2 linked regions of the Callithrix jacchus genome follow. The protein of the gene in region 1 interacts with the protein of each later gene in a pairwise test. Links are inferred from orthologs where the notes say so. Each region holds a gene or a part of one and is shown in the gene's direction. Other genes may lie near its edges. The genes, in order: ESR2 and NCOA6.

What was found.
Region 2: the proteins of ESR2 (region 1) and NCOA6 interact in a two-hybrid assay, tested with the Homo sapiens proteins (3 studies listed by BioGRID). The link is inferred for Callithrix jacchus from reciprocal best matches to the Homo sapiens genes ESR2 and NCOA6.

What each region holds. Positions count from the first base shown.
Region 1 is NC_133509.1:98,955,749-98,960,119, reverse strand, and holds the start of ESR2 (estrogen receptor beta), read left to right. Parts: upstream 1-1,262; 5' UTR 1,263-1,508; intron 1,509-1,952; 5' UTR 1,953-2,157; intron 2,158-4,371.
Region 2 is NC_133506.1:4,479,825-4,484,396, forward strand, and holds the start of NCOA6 (nuclear receptor coactivator 6), read left to right. Parts: upstream 1-1,591; 5' UTR 1,592-1,786; intron 1,787-4,572. UniProt on the Homo sapiens protein: Nuclear receptor coactivator that directly binds nuclear receptors and stimulates the transcriptional activities in a hormone-dependent fashion. Coactivates expression in an agonist- and AF2-dependent manner.

The sequences.
Region 1 (4,371 bases):
TCAAGTCCTTCTTAGCCACTGATAGGTCATGTGACCATAGGTAGGTTGTTTAACCTTCCTGATCATTCATTTTCTCAAGTATAAAATGGGGATTATAGAATTTGCCTCACAGGCTTGCATATAAAATAAGAATTTTTGAGAGTGGGGCATAAAATGTCCAATAAGTGGTAGCTCTCTATGAAGCCACTGTTGTTACTGGGTTCCTTTCTCACTATGTGGCTTCAGGTAGCTGATAGAAGCTCTGTGAGCCTCAATTTCCTCATTTGAAAAGTGGAGTCAATATTATCTCACTGAGCTGGTATGAGGATTAAATGAGATGCTGTGCAGGTGCTTAGCACATAGTTAGGTATGATGTTGATACTGATAGATGTGTTTTCTTCACCCTCACCCATCTTTGCCTGTTGGCTCATGGTTGAAATTCCTTCACGATGGTTTCCATTTCCAGAGATATCTTGTTAACAAGTATACACCACCAAACGAAGTTGATTTTTTAACCCATCATTTAACATTTTCTCCATAAGGTGGCAAGGAGAAGGGAGTATATGGGGACTGGGTACCTTGAGAGACCCCAAGACGGGACAGAGAGGCTGAGATTGGCATGTTGTCTGCTGCAGTTGCTTGCCAGTGACACACTCTTCCTGTCCAAACTAACTTCTCTGCCTCAAGGAAAGACTGCCTTTCAACCGGAGAGAAACCAGAACTCACAGCTTTAATGAAAATTGGACTTGGAGTGGGGCAGTGGAGACTTTTCACAGCCACTGTTTAGCTGAAGAAGCAGGTGCTTCTCCATCTTTGGAGCCTGTCTTCACTACCTGTGGACCTCATCCTTATCAACCCAGAACCCTCTCTCTATTTTGGCTAAACACCGAACAACTGAGGCTGGCCCTGTAAAATGTTCCCTCCAAATGCCCCCTTGGTTTTCCTCTATTAAAGATCTGGATCACAACCCTCAAAAACCACGTCCCTTATGCCACCTGAGTAGATGGTTTGATGATTAATTAGGCACAGATGTGACACGAGTCTCACAATGGCCCGTGGGTCACATGATACTTTCCTTTTCCTTTTCATCATCGTCAGCTGCCCTAAAGCCAGTTGAGCCTGTGGTCCTAGTCTCACAACCTGGGGGTCCTGGGGTGTGTGAGGGGAACACCCCATTAAGCTCGGGGAACTGGGGCTGCCACCAGGGGGCGCGAGGGTCCCTCATCTGAGGAGGGAGTGGGCAGGCGCCTCCAGGGGAGAAGGGCACCGCAGCCGGAAGCACAGGTCTTCGCGGTGCCACTTCCACCAAGTGAGTTCGAGGAAGTACCTGGGATCTTTGATATAACGCCAAAGGCCTTTCCAGAGAGCTCTTGAAGAGCTGAGAACCCAAGCCTTCCACCTCTAGTTCACGGCTTTGCCACTCTAGGACCCGAGGTTACGTTTGCTGCTGGGGATCTGACAAACCCAAAGCCTCTCTGGTTTCACCACTGGATCCTTAGAATCGGACTTCTGTACTGAATGGCACCCATGTAAGTCAGGGGAGTCAGGAGCTGGGGACGTGATCATCGAAGTATGGTCCCCAGACTGGCTGTATCAATGTCAGCATCTCCCAGGACCTGGTTGGAAATGCATGTTCTCGGGCTACTCCAAAACCCTTAATATGAGACTGGGGCTGCGGGGAGCGCCATCTGTGCGCCACTGTCCTTGTGGGTGGACCAGGAGGCGGCTCAAGGGTGCTCCCACTTCGGGGTCACGCGCGGCGCCGGGTGCTCCTGAGACCGCCGGGCTCCTCTGTGGTCACGTGGGCTTAGGCACTACTCCCCTCTACCGTCCTCTCGGTCTTTAAAAGAAAAAAGGGGCTTATCGTTAAGTCGCTGGTGATCTTTTCAGTTTCTCCAGCCGCTGGCTTTTCGGATACTCACTCCCCCGCCCGGAGGCAGCTGCGGGAAATAACTGCCTCTTGAAACTTGCAGGGCAGAGAGCAGGCGGCGAGCGCTGGGCTGGGAAGGGACCACCCGAGCTGCGACGGGCCCCAGGGCTGGCGCTCGGAGCCGGGGCTGCACGAGGAGCGCTCGCTTTCAACAGGTGGCCGCGGGGCGCGTGCCGGGAGGCCCCTACTGCGGGAAAAGCACGTGTCCGCATTTTAGAGACTGCAAGGCCGGTGTGTTTATCCGCAAGGTAAGCGCCCTTTCGCTCAAGGTGTGATTTCTCATTTTGTTTGAAATCCTGCGATGAGAAACCAGTCATGTTGAGAACAATAAAAGACCAAAAAAAAAAAAATCACCAAAACCAACTGTATTGCAAGCTGCCGGAAAGATGGAAAATACTTTTGATCATGCTTTGATCAAATGTCTCTATTCAAGATACCGGCAAGTTAACTTATTTAGTTTGTGCTTGTGAGCTCTGGATTGATTTTGCTAATATGAATGTCTGGGAAAAAAATTGCTTTTTCTCTGGTTTTCCTCGGTGGATTTCCCCAGTGTAGATGAAATGACTGTTGAACACACTTTCTGATTGAAGTTTGAGGACCTGGGAAGATGTACATGTCTCAAACAGATGATAGGGGTTTTTTAATGTATTGGCATTCCTCAGCCATGTCAGCAAGCTGAGTTCCTCCTTTCCTGGGCTAAGCGCTATCTGGTATCCTTTATTTGCTGAAGAGGGGTCCAACTACTGCCCTCTAACCCCCTCCGTGTTATTCTTATTGGAAGGGTAATATTAAGTCAAGTAAATGTCATTTTTGTGAAAAATAAAACTTCGAATGGACTTCTATTGAGGAAGATAAGGTCGATTTAATTTTACTTGCTGTTTAAAAAGCAGAATTGTGTTTTGGTGTGGTAGGCAACACTTGGGAGGAAAGAGTTTGCCTTATTTTGTTATATTTCTAGTATTTACATGGGCATTCCATTAGAAAGTTTTCCTTTTGCTGTAAGTTTCATAACTCAGTGTCTAGTTTCCTCTGTGTGAGGGGAAAGATGTTTAAAAAGTGAACATGTGAAAGGAAAGGTTTTTCTGAGAGTGTTGTGAAAAGCAAATGTACTATGACTATGAAAACATGCTTCACATTTTCAACTATTTTTTTCTGAAGAAAATCAATATATTTTGGCATAAGTTCTAGAAGAAGGAAACTGTAAGGATCTGTTCATCAATAGGCATTAGAGCATACACCTTAGGATTGCATTTTACGTTCAAGTCTTTTTTTTTAGATGAATTTCTTGAACATTCTCATTTCAAAAGCTATCAGATGCTTGTAGCACTTAAGTTTTGCTCAAGACAGAAGTCTCTGAAATCAATTAACATGTTTAGGACACATTTCATAGTGTTCTGAGGGATGTGAATAAATCTAATCACCATTTACACTTCTCAAAATGTATTTATAATTCAGAAAAGGTGAATTTAGTAGTAAATTCAACTTATAACCATTTAATTAACATTTAATAGATATTGATATGGTCACTCTTAAAAATAAGACATTGACATTTTCTATAAATGATTCAACATGTAATGATTCAAAATACATCTTGTGATAATTTTAGGTGATGTTTTGAATCATTTTGTAGAACATGAATATGAATAAAATATAAAATACTGAAGGCTGAACTTGAAGTGTTTACTAGTAAATTTTTGATAATACATCTAGAACCCTTGAGAATTGTATGCTTGAACATTAGATTTCATAATTCAGGTGTCCAGCATTTTGTTTTACATGTAATAGTACTTTTAAATAATTAGGCTACTGCAGTGTAACTTGCATACAGTAAAATTTAGCCTCTGTAAGTGTACCTCTGTGAATTCTGACAGATGCAGTTATATAACCAGCACCACAGACAAGACACGAAACAGCTCCATCGCCCCAAAAGTCCCCCATGTACCTCTTTGTAGTCAACCCTCTCCACCTACCCCACTGCCCCTGAAAATCACTGATCTGTTTGCTGATTATGTAATTTTGCTCTTTTTTTTTTCCAAAATGTTATACCACAAGTTTTGCTCTTTAGTATGTTTTTACTTATGCATATTTTCCTTTCTTCACTTTTCTTGAAAGAAAAACCTGTTCTTCTGTTTTTATAGGCTGAGTCTGTGGTATTTTTGTTTGAATTCTAGTACCTTGGGATAAATTAAGGCAAAGACAATGCTATTTGCAAATGGGAAACTAGAGACTTGAGCTAAGTGTTAAATTCATATTGGTCTAACAGATTTAGTTCTTAGCAGATTTAGATTCTATTGCGGTTTAAGCCTTTGGTTATGGTATATTATCATTGGTTATCCTGAATTGAAATAGGCTATTAAAAGTTGTTATTTATATCATATTAATAGCACCATTCTGTTCCAATCTTTGAAATTTAAAACTTATTTCTGTATTTGAAAAAACTACTTTCATTATACCTCAGATTA
Region 2 (4,572 bases), on another chromosome or scaffold:
ATCTCCTGTGATGCTCAGAACAGCCCCCTAACTCCTATTTTGCAGATGAAGAAGCTGAAGTTCAGAGAGGGAAGGGTAGCTATCAAGAGCAAAAGCCAAAATAGAGCTACCATACAATTCAGCAATCCTACTCTTAGGTATACACCAGAAAAAAAGGAAATCAGTATACGGAAGCGATATCTGCACTCTCATGTTTACTGCAGCCCTGTTCGCAATAGCCAAGATTTGGAAGCAACCTAAGTGTCCATCAACAGATGAATAGGTAAATAAAATGTACATGTGCACAATAGAATACTATTCCGCCATTAAAAAAGAATGAGATCATGCCATTTACAACAATATGGATGTAACTGGAGGTCCTTGTTACATGAAAGAAGCCAGACACAGAGAGACAAACTTCCCATGTGATCACTTATTTATGGGAGCAAAAAATTCAAACAATTGAACTCATGGAGATACAGAGTAGAAGGAGGGTTACCAGAGGCTGGGAAGGTTAGTGGGAGGTGGCTGGGAAATGGGAATGATTAATGGTTACAAAAAATAAGATGAATAAGACATAGTATTTGCCGGCACAAGAAGGTGATGATAGTAAAAAAACAATTTACCTGCACATTTTAAAATAACTAGCATATAACTGGGTTGTAACACCAAAGATAAATGCTGAGGTGCGGCCAGGCACGGTGGCTCATGCCTGTAATCCTAGCACTCTGGGAGGCCGAGGTGGGTGGATAACCTGAGGTCGAGAGTTCAAGACCAGCCTGACCAACATGGTGAAACACCATCTTTTTTAAAAAAAATGCTGAGGTGCTAGATACCCCATTTACCCCATTTACCATGATGTGATTATTATGCATTGCATGCCTGTATCAAAATCTTATATACCCCATAAATATATACACCTACTGCGTACTCACAAAAATTAAAAAAATACATCAGTGTAGTGTGGGAAAAAGAACAAAAAAATTTAAAAAAAGAGTGAAAGCCAGATATGAATGCAGGCCTGAATGACAGACATCAAGTCCAGTGCTGAGGAGGCCTTTCTACATTTGGGAAGAGGGGAGGGGCCACACTCACTTGTTCGATCAAGAATTCTATTAACTGAGCATTTCGCTTGCTAGGGAGGTAATGATGGGAAAAAGAAGAGAGGGATTTGGAGGCAACTAATAATGAAAGCTTCTATCTATATCCCCATTAAGCTTATTATTAGACAGTATGTGTCAGGCACTGCGATAAGTGCTTTCCATGCCCCCCGCCATTTCTTCTTCAACAAGCACTATGAATTTCTCCATATTTCAATAGGTAAACTGAGGCTTGGAGTTGCCACGTCCAAGGGTACTTAGCCAGAGCGCTCGCAAAACGTTGTGCCGTGTGTGCTTCCGAAGTGGGACTCACTGGCGGGAGAACAGCCCTGGGAAGTCGACAGAGACCCACGATACACCCGCACTAAGCACTCAGCACCGAAGCGAGCTGGCGCGCGCTCCACCTCGCGCTCCCGGGAACGTCTGGTCACATGGGCGATGCCCCGCCCCTCGAGTCCGCCCCGCCCCTTCTCGCGCTCCCTCCCTCTCTCCCTCCCTCCCCCTCCCTCCCCGGCCCGGTCCGGCCCATCCCCCTCCCCGCCGGCTCCGTGAGGCCCTGCCGGGTCGGGCTGCGGGCGGCCGGGCGCGGGTGGCCGGACAGACGGGCGCACGCGAGGACTGACGGACGAACGCACGGAGGGCGGCGGGCACGCACGGCCCGGGCCGGCGCTCCAAGGCCCGCCCGGGAGGGCCGGGGCCGCGCTCAGGTGAGGCAACGGCGGCGCGGGCCCGTAAGGGGTGGGCCCGCCGGGCGTCCGCGGTCCGGGTCGGGTTGGCTTTGCTGGGAGGAGGCGCCGCCCGGGCCCGGCGCGGGAAAATGGCGCCCGGCGACCGTGCTGCACGGTCCGAGTGTGGGCCCGGCCCGGAGCCGCCCCGCCCGCCGCGCTGGTGTCCCAGTCGCCATGTTGGGGAGCGGGCCCTAGGCCTGCGGGCGGGGGCGCTGGAGGGAGCGGTGGCCCGGCGGGGTGGGGAGGGTGCTGGGCGCGGGGGCCGGTGCACTGAGGGAGTGCAGGGCTGGCTGGGGTCTGCACGGGGTGGCGCTTCAGGCCTGGGGAACTGGCGGGAGCTGGTCGTGGGGTCGTGGGGTCGTAGTCAGGGTCGCCGAGAAGGAACACCGGGACCGAAAGGAACCGGGATTGGGGTCCAAGGGCTGAAAGGATGGCAGGACGTGGAACTGGGTTAGGCCTTAGGCGGTGTATAGAGAGCCCTAGTGCTGGTAGGATCTGGGGATTGGGGTGGAGGCTTGGGGTCAGGCTCAGGCTGTCAGGGCTGGAACAGTTCTTTGCGGGAAAGGACGGAGGCGATTGATGAGAAATGAGGGCCCTTTGGATCCAGACGCTGGTATCAGATTGGGCAGTCCTTGGGGTAGTGGAACTGAATTGCAAAGCTGTGTAACTCACAAGGCTCTGAAGACTTCTGTCCCAAGGATCCTCCACCCCCTATTGGGGGAAGCAACAGGAAAAAGGTGTTTGATGAGGAGAGAACAGGGGGACTGAGGTTTGGGTGCAAGCTGGCCAGCAAAAGAGGTACAGAGAGTAGAACTGGTTGGCAAGAAAGGAGAAAACCTACATCAACTTTGGGAGTTGTGTGTGTCTTTAAAAGGAGGAACCCGCCTGTTTGGGGGCGGTGACCCAAGGTGTCTTCCCTGGAATGGGACAGCCCACAGCTTAAGAGCAGGGTCACCTGGAGAGGTCATCAGAAAGGCGTTATTGAAGCCAGTAAAATGGTGAAGAGTGAATGTATAAAAACTACAAAGACCTGAGAGATCAAGTAAAGATTTCAACTCAGGTAGTGATTTTAGCTGAAACATAGAAAGGTAAAGTTGACTTCTCAAGATCTTATAAGTTAGTGGCAGAGGGGCTACTGGAAGTGGTTTAAACACATTTCCTTAAAGGAATTTGCTGGTTGGGAGAAAGGTGTTAAGAAATGAAGCGTAACATTCTTGTGATGAAACTAGAAGCAAACAAACAAAAACAACAAGAAATGAAGCGTAACAGTATATACCAGAGAACAATTAAATTTGTTTTGTTCCTGTAATGAGTTTGGCAATGCAAAGGCCGAAGGGAATACAGTTACTTGGTATTTCCTGGCTCGTCTCTAATTGTGCAAAGAAGTTATCTTTGATACTTTCTAACTTTCTAGAGTTTTTAGAGATGCTCCGGCCAGCCACAGTGGCGCATGCCTGTAATCCCAGCCCTTTGGGAGGCCAAGGTGGGAGGATTCCTTGAGCCCAGGAGTTGGCAGACCCCATCTCTACAAAAAAGGCCAAAAAATTAGCCATCTGATGTGGCTTGTATCTGTAGTCCCAGCTACTCAGGAGGCTGAGGTGGGAGGATCGCTTGAGCCTGGGAGGTCAAGGCTGCAATGAGCCATGCTGTGATCATGCCATGACATTCCAGCCTGGGCGACAGAGCAAGATACTGTCTTAAAAAAAGAGATGCCTTCTCTTCTAGGTGTTTATCATAAAGGAACACAAAATCCTAAAAAAGAAAAGTGAACAATGGTAGAGACCCAGAGTCTATATTGTGTTCATCGAAGTTGGATCCTGTGAGAGAAGAATTCAAAGTTTGCATGGACTATGGGTCTGAAGGAAATATGCAAATCAGTCATGAAAAATAGGTCCAGGGCCCCATATAATCAAAGAGAATTAATGAACAAAAGGGTTATATATAAAATAAGATCGTCAATATCATATGTATATACAGTAACACAATTCATTTGTTCTGGGTTTGTTTTTTTTTTTCTTTTTGGTAGAGATGGGGTTTTACCGTGTTACCCAGGCTGGTCTTGAACTCCTGAGCTCAAGTGATCTGCCCATCTCGGCCTCCCAAAGTGCTGGGATTAACAGGCGTGAGCCACCATGGTGTGAGCCTTTTCTGGGTTTTTCTAATGCTGGAAGACCTGACTTTATCTGTGCCATGGACCCCTTTCAGAATAATATTTTTAATTGTATAAAATAAAATACATTGGATTATAAGGAACACCAATTATATTGAAATACAATTACTACACTATAAAAATCTAATATGCATATACTTGTTTATCAGCACATTAAGAAATCATATTTAGTGATGGATCCGATAATTATAATTTCAAAGATATGATGCGCTTAAAGGGTACTTTAAGATTATATGCAACAACTGTAGTATAATATAAAGATATTTGAGGGCAGGGCACGGTTGCTCACATCTATAATCCCAGCACTTTGGGAGGCTGAGGTGGGTGGATCATAAGGCCAAGAGATCAAGACCATCCTGGCCAACATGGTGAAACCCCGTCTCTACTAAAAATACAAAAATTAGCTGGGTGTGGAGGTGTGTGCCTGTAGTCCCAGCTACTCGGGAGGCTGAGGCAGGAGAATTGCTTGAACCTGGGAAGTGGAGGTTGCAGTGAGCTGAAATTGTGCCACTGCACTCCAGCCTGGTGCATGGTGACAGAGCAAGACTCTGTTTCAAAAAAATAAAGATATTTGAGATTTCTATTGTTACAGAGT